Schizosaccharomyces pombe: one gene and its partner. The main gene of each other region encodes a partner of the protein of the gene in region 2 in a complex. Each region holds a gene or a part of one and is shown on either strand. Other genes may lie near its edges.

Region 1 (3,757 bases), on a different chromosome or scaffold from region 2:
TTAATGCAATTGGATTAGTATTATTACAGCAATTTAATATATACATAAGTTAATTCCACCGACACATTTTCTACATGTTGAGATAGCGGCATTAATACTTTTGCATTAATTATTTATTTTTTATGCACTTCAGAAAATAAAAAAATTTTAGATAATATATATTTTTTTAATATCCCCGCATGTTTCAAATTTCCAAAATTAATATACTAATAGCGATATTCAATGAGCACGTTTCTTTAAATAGGAAAGTACACAGTCATCTTCTACAATAACGAGTTGTTTGAAAATACAAAATTAGCGAATTAATTAAACTCCTATGTTTTATTTTTAATGTATGAAATATATTCCACCTTTAAACTATTTGCTAATCTTGTCTAAACAGTAGCATGCTTTAACTCCGAAATGCTTTTAGCAAGAGATTGCTCCAAGTTTTGACTTTCAAAACTTAATGACTTTGTACGGTCTATAATCTGTTGGAAAGCTGAATAAGTAGGGTGTTCAATTATTATTGATTCACCGTCCAACTTAGCTTTAAACCCAAATTGTACCTCGGGTTCGGGCTCTTCGGCTTCAGTAGCAGTTTCGGCTTCCGTGATTAAATCATCAGCAACAACATTTGTAGAGGTAGATTCAATACTTTCATCTTCAGTACTTTGATCGGCAGCTACATTAGAAGCTGCGGCAACTGAAGGATTATTACGGTTTTCAACAAGTTGTATTAATTGAGCACTGTCCATTTCCAGCTTGTTAGCAAGCACATCAACACTTATGACACTGTGAATACGGCAATATGCCTCAGCAAGTAATTTGCGAGCACCTTCCAAAAAGTGATCGCACAAAGATACGAGAAAAAAGTCGGTTTTCAAAACCTCTTCACATTCTCTGAGGCAATGCTGAGCTTTTTCAAAGTCGACCTCAGTATACAAAGCAGAAATAAAAGAGGTCACAGGATCGCTGTATTCATAGTTTTCTTGGCTAATGATGCGTACGAGATCTCGCATCCTTCTTTGATAAGATTGCCTAGGGTTACGAGGTTTTTGATTTGCATTATTTTGGTTAGTAACAACAGCGACAGTCAAATATCTTAATAGCCAGGGACAAGAGGTTTGGATGGTGTTGAGATAAGGAGTATAGAAGAACAAATCACAAAGAGTATCACAACCATTTGCATGATTAAACAAAGGAAACAAGGACCAGTGGAGGAGCCAAGTTCGATTTCTCAATTGAACAGCAGAATCTTTAAAGCTTTTGGAGTCCACCATTTCGCGAAGTTTTCCCAATTCCTCCATAGCCCCATCCCAATCAACAGTCAAAATTTCAGAAGCAAATTTACCCCAGGTCGCGGAGGCGTTTAATTCAGGGTCTTTACTGAAGGCACGAAAATGATAAAGTAAATCTGATGCACCACCGTAGTTTCCACAATTATATTGAAATTGAGCAAACTTGTAAAGAACAGCTATACGTTCAGGGGTAATGTTGTAATGTTCTTGTAGGTGTTGTAAATTTTGACCTTTATCTTGACGAAGAGCTGCAATCAAGTCAGGATTTTCTAAGACACCTAAAATTCCTTGAACCTCTTCTTCAAGTTCAGAGAGCTCTTGCAAAACACTGCGTCGCTTTTCAGCAAAAGCATTTGCCATGTCCTCGTCGGTATGACCCCCATGAAGATTAGTCCACAAGTTGGCCACATAATCAGTCATATTGGTATCTTTAAGCAAATCATACTTAGCTTGTAAAAGCTCCTTTGGATCATGAGTCTGTCTTAAAGATAAAAATTCCAATAGAGGAAAAATGAGATGGCGGTCAAGGTGTTGCATAATTTTTTGCGACAAATCATACTTGACCGCTATAAAGGTTAGAAAACATTCTCCTGTATTTAAAAATAAATCTAAATTAGCTTACCTAAAGGGCTTGTACTCTTAAGCTCGGATCCCATATCTGATATGTTTCACGCAAAAAAAAAGTGCGTGGTGTGGGGAGGATAGCACAACTCACCCAAAACTCTAGTAGTAGCCCCCTTAGACTACAGTACTGAAAAGCAATATGACAATAGTAGGTCAGCAATGTTCGTACAAAAAATATTAAATTCCTTAATGATATTTTTGCTTTTTTTAACCAATAGTTTTTCATAAAACTAATTAAGCTCGAACTTACTACCAGCTAATGTAAATCAATGTGTAAGACAAATTTTTATCCGATTCTTGATCTTTACTTAAATTGTAATTATTGTCAAATACTGGTTTCTAATATTTTTTTAACTTTCGATATAAATAGCACTTCTTATACGAATAATACATAAATGCTACTTAATAAAATGTAAATGCTTACTAAGAGATAAGTTTTACACGTCCATCCATCAAAATGATAAGCTCGATATCAATCGATTTAGTAATATTACAGTATTTACGCCCATAATCTATAGCAAATTTTTCAATTACAAGTTGTTCTAAATATGCAAGAGCAATATGGTCCCCGTTATATCCTAATAAAAATAACGTCTCAATGGCTCTTCTTTTTCTTCTTACTTTTCTTGACTTCTTCTGATGCATCATCGGCAGAACGCTTTTTCTTAGACTTCTCCTTTTTCTTCTCCTTCTTGTCTTTCTTTTCTTTCTTGCTCGGCTTTTCTGAAATGGTTTCAACAGTCTCTTCAACGTCAATGTCAACCTCCTCGTCTCCGTCTATGTTAACACTCGATAATGCCTTTTCATAAGCTTCTGCCATTGCAATACTATTGCGAGTAGGGGCGACACCGGTATCGAAAAAGTTGAGACGTTCCTCGACTTGTCGACGAAGAACTTGACCAAATGCCGTAGTTGGGGCATCGCTAAAGTTATCAATACGGCTAGCAATAGAACATTTGTTAGCCAAGAAACGAGAGATGCGGCCTTTGTTTTTAGCGCCAGCTTTTCCAATAAAACTAGAATGGTAAATAATACCGTATTTAGGCGTGTTTCCACGGGTTTTCAGAGCACGGAACAAAGCCTTTTCAGCACCTAGAATCTGTACCGTAGAAGCCGGGCATTTTGACAAGTTAGTTAGACTTCCGGCATGAGAAATCAAACGAGCACCAACCATCTCACCAATTAATTCAGCAAGATTGGGAGCAACAACATTCATCTTCTGAACCAAATAGTTATGTAGCTGTTTACGATAATTACTAAGTTTAATAACACGTTCAGCAAAAGATAGAATATTCTCGAGGTCAATTTCAGAGATATCTTGTCCCATAGACACTTTACCAGCGTTGATTATACTTTGAGCAATATCTTTGTCATCGTCTACAACGGCTGCCAGATCATGAAGCATTTCGTCGTTAATGGTGGTTTTATCACCAACCAGTGTAACAATAACAGCGTATTTGTAATTGTCTCCAACGATCTTCGAAAGCTCAGGGAAATGCCAAGAATACCACTCTTTCATGCGCATAGCGAAAGTATTAATGTCCTTGTCAAGTTGATCAAGGATAGCAATAGCTTGGATAATCATGTTGTCATTTCTGTTAACATTGAACTTCACTTTTGCGCGAGAGTATGAATGTCCTAAACCAAGCTGAGCCCTTTCGAAATCACCGGGTGATAGTTGCTTGAGAAGTTTATCACCATGAAAACGAATACCACGGAGAAGATCCTGGGTAAGCTCAGAAGTGTCACATTCAATGGCATCAATTTCGGATTTAATAGACGTTGCTAAATTTTTGTCTTGGACTCCCAGAGACACCTTTTTCTTCTTTGAGGCTTTCGGCAAATTGAGTTCC
Region 2 (3,757 bases):
CCTCTTGTTTTACCACAATATTCTGACTAAGCTTGAAACCGTTTTACGATCTCTTGGCTAGTGGCAATGAGCTATATCGGTTTTCTACTAATCGAGTTCTAATTTTTTTACCGTAATACCCTAAAGTGTGTTAAAAGCAATGTTCATGAAAAAAATCACGTTGGAAGCATCGAAAATCAGATATTTCCAAATGAATTAAACGGCACTTAATTTTCCTTCGCTTCATTTTTACTATTCCAACAAATACATTACTTTACACTTAGCTTCTAATTTACCGAGAAACAGTTCATAAGATTAAAAAATAAAGAAACCGAAAATATAAAACCGATTTAAAGATCTTAGATTTGCACATGTAATTGAGTATTATACATGTAACCTTTTTAATGAACTTTCTACATCCGTCCTTTTTAAGCAGTAGAAGAAGCTTCAAGGGAGGGTCCAGCAGCTTCTTCAAAAGTGTTGGGTGGAACAGAGTACAAGCGTAAAATAGGTCTGTTGGGATCCTTTACAAGGACATATTTTCCATCAGGCATTTTCAAACAGACATCTGCAATAGTACGAACAATACCCCAACCATTAGACAAACTTAAGTTCATTTGGGAAGCCAAATCAGCAGGCTTATAAGCTACAACACCCAAAATGCCGTGGTGCTGAGCGTCACGGGCATTTGAACGACTGACAAAACCAACCTTCATGCTATCAACACCAGCCAATAAAGCTTCGACAGTCCAACGGGCAAGCTTGCAACTATTGTTCTTCATTTCAGTGGCAAACACAGCACCTCTTTGACTTTCGAGCTTGGAACGCCAATCCACAGAACCAGTAACATTTGTAAATTTGGGATCGTACTCATTAAGAGCCTTGATAGAAATGTATTGAACATCGTTCGCAGGATTTTTAACATAACCGTCAACTTCGGTACGAACCATTAGCTTAACAGGCTTTTCGTCTGTCTCGAGAGAAAGATCAACATCCCGATAGATATAACCGTGAGCAGCCAATGGCTCACTTTCTTCCTTAGAATTATAGAAGGGATTGGGATGAGGTAATTTATATTTCTCTTCTTCGGTTTCACGTAAAGCTTGGACGCAGAAGTTTTGGTTAATGTACGTAGCTTCGACAGAAAGGGCTCCAGGAGAATTAACACCTTCGCGGTTGTCAGCGTCCATGGGAGAATCGTATGCGTTTTCATTGACAGTGAGATAATCAAAAGGTCCGCCTTCACGTTTGTCAAAGAATAGCTTTCCACTTTGGTGAGTAATTACAATATCCCAGGGATACACTGAGCGAGTTGAACACATCAATAAAGACAAAATGGAATCCGTAATGAAAATGTTAGCATCACTATTAAGAGCGAGTTTTTGGATAACGGGGTCTTCAGTAGTGGTAGGGTTGTAATGAACACGGTCCAAGGCTTGTAATGGTTTTTCTGATTTAACATGAATCTTGTCAAAAGATTTGTCATAAGGATAAATATAACCATATGAATCCACAGTAACAGGAGCAGCAGCAGCTAAATTGAGCTTAGATAAATGGCTGAACTCAACCTCGTCAAGAAGCTGCCAGTCGTCACCAACAGTAACACTGGCGTTGCGAAGACGTTGATGTTTATCATAATCCTTCCAACCAAACCGACGACCTCTTGCTCCTCCAGCGCCTGAGGATCTAGAAACCACTGTATCACCTGCACCTCTTCCACCAGAAGAACCGTAGCGACCGCCACGACCACCTCGTTGAACGTTTTGTCCTCTACCGCGAACCTTCAATAAAGTGCCGCCGTTGCGAGCGGAAGTGCGTGTACGATTGACAGAACCACGATCGATCACCGAGAAACTGGATTCGTCCTCCGAATGCTGATAACCAAAAATGGACGACGCGCCATAACCATAAGTTTGATATTGGTCACGGAAACGACCAGCAAATGCTCCTTGACGTCCACGTTGTTCACGTCCATCTTTAGGTTGATCAACAGACCAATCTGCAATTTTTCCAAGACGGTCACCTTTACTAAAAGGAGCATAAGGAATATCACCTCCTATCTGTTCCGTTTCAGGAGGTCCCCATGCTGATTTTACGGGTGCTAACTCAGGCAATTTAAATCCAGTTGCCATTTGGGAGTGGTGAAGTTTTCTTCGAAGTGGACGCCAGTATAGTGTGCAAACGAACTGGGAGACGCTAAAACACCAAAGCCAACAATGGTAATATTTGAAGTTCTAAAGCTTTATTTGTAATACAAAAGTACTTAAATGTAATATATATACTTTTTGGTTCGTGAAAAAGTTAAATGTTATACATTTCCTTTTGCAATCAAGGTGCTATATTTGTAGAAAAACTACATCTATTAACAATTAGTATATGTTACTGTATTTATCAAACTACTTCTTTATTTGTGAACCCACATGCCTATTCAGAAGACGATATGTGGAAATCTCAACCACTCACTACATTATAAAACTATAGTAGGTAGAATTACTTTATCATACTAGCAGGTTATATCAGCACTAAATGTTATTAAATTAAAAAATGGGAGAAATTGATATTGAAATAAAAGATATGTTATGCTATAATTTAAAACTGATTACGACATCAGACTTTGCCTTTATAGTCATTGTCTCAAGGCTTAAATGTTTCTGACAAAAGCATGTTTTAGAAAATTTTAATTTCGTCAACGCTGTCTTTTGAAGAAAGAAAAAAATGAACGCCAAGGTTCTCAGACATTCTCTCTTTTCTGTCATCACATGTCGCATAAAAAATATACACATCTAATCCTATTAAAACAATTGTTTGCGAAGAAATTAATGTATAAAAACGGAAAGCACCAAATATTAAGCAGTGTTAAATGACCGCAAAAGCTGCTAAGTAGCAAAGGAGAGAGTTTAGTGCATCACATGATAAAGGATCGCATTGACAGCCTAGCACACGCAAGGAAAAAGAATGATAAAGTATGAATTTAAAATATTAATAATAATGATGGAAATATGTGAGGTCTCTATTAAAGAAACGGAACTAACTTCCTCCAACCCCGTTTTCTTTGCGCTAATCCCTTATAATGATTTATTTCATCTAGGCAGTCCCTTCCATAATTACAGCCTGCCAAGTTTACCAAGAAGTCTCCTTCTTTTTGGTTATAAAAGAAACGAGGATTTTCACCTTCACCAGCACAAGCACCTGGAGGATATGAATTGAAAAGGCGAAGAGGAACGAATCCCATGCCGCTTCGAAGCCAAGCATTATTCTCGTAGAAGTACTCAATTGCATTTTGCTCATCGTGAGGCCAATCCATGTGCTTTTGCCCATAGACTACTGGATCCCAAAGGAAGTCCATCAATCTGCTAGTCCAATCACTTCGACGAACCAGAAAAGAACCCAAACTGAAACCGTTGCAATCTTGCCCTAAAATAAAGTTGATATCTTCACTATAGTCAACAAATGGAATTTCGTGGAAATTTTTTGGATTGAACTCCATGCTATCAGTAATATTCCTGGTCGCAATATGGTCAAGTCTGTTAATAATAAGCTTTTCAAGAGAATATTGAGGTTCCATGATGAATGTTGTTAAATCGACCCACCAAAACCATTCAGCATGAGGGTATTTCTTCATGGCTTCCATGATATAATCTGCTTTTTCCCAAGATTCACGCCATTCATGAGCATATCGTCTCTTTAAGCCTGTGCTCTTCACAAAGAAATGATATCCGTGCCTTTCAGCGTATTTCTTCTTGTTCTCCGTTGAAATCTTCTCCAGCTCCCATTGTCT

The links.
Region 1: moe1 (region 2) and int6 share a complex: the UniProt entries of both Schizosaccharomyces pombe proteins name them as parts of the eukaryotic translation initiation factor 3 (eIF-3) complex.

Annotation. Positions count from the first base shown.
Region 1 is NC_003423.3:938,326-942,082, forward strand, and holds int6 (translation initiation factor), read right to left. Parts: upstream 1,984-3,757; 5' UTR 1,937-1,983; coding exon 1,903-1,936; intron 1,847-1,902; coding exon 375-1,846; 3' UTR 296-374; downstream 1-295. Other genes in the region: U3 snoRNP protein Nop56, read right to left, coding at 2,500-3,757. UniProt on the Schizosaccharomyces pombe protein: Component of the eukaryotic translation initiation factor 3 (eIF-3) complex, which is involved in protein synthesis of a specialized repertoire of mRNAs and, together with other initiation factors, stimulates binding of mRNA and methionyl-tRNAi to the 40S ribosome.
Region 2 is NC_003424.3:4,550,205-4,553,961, reverse strand, and holds moe1 (translation initiation factor eIF3d), read right to left. Parts: upstream 2,123-3,757; 5' UTR 2,112-2,122; coding exon 408-2,111; 3' UTR 221-407; downstream 1-220. Other genes in the region: gmh5 (alpha-1,2-galactosyltransferase), read right to left, coding at 2,993-3,757. UniProt on the Schizosaccharomyces pombe protein: mRNA cap-binding component of the eukaryotic translation initiation factor 3 (eIF-3) complex, which is involved in protein synthesis of a specialized repertoire of mRNAs and, together with other initiation factors, stimulates binding of mRNA and methionyl-tRNAi to the 40S ribosome.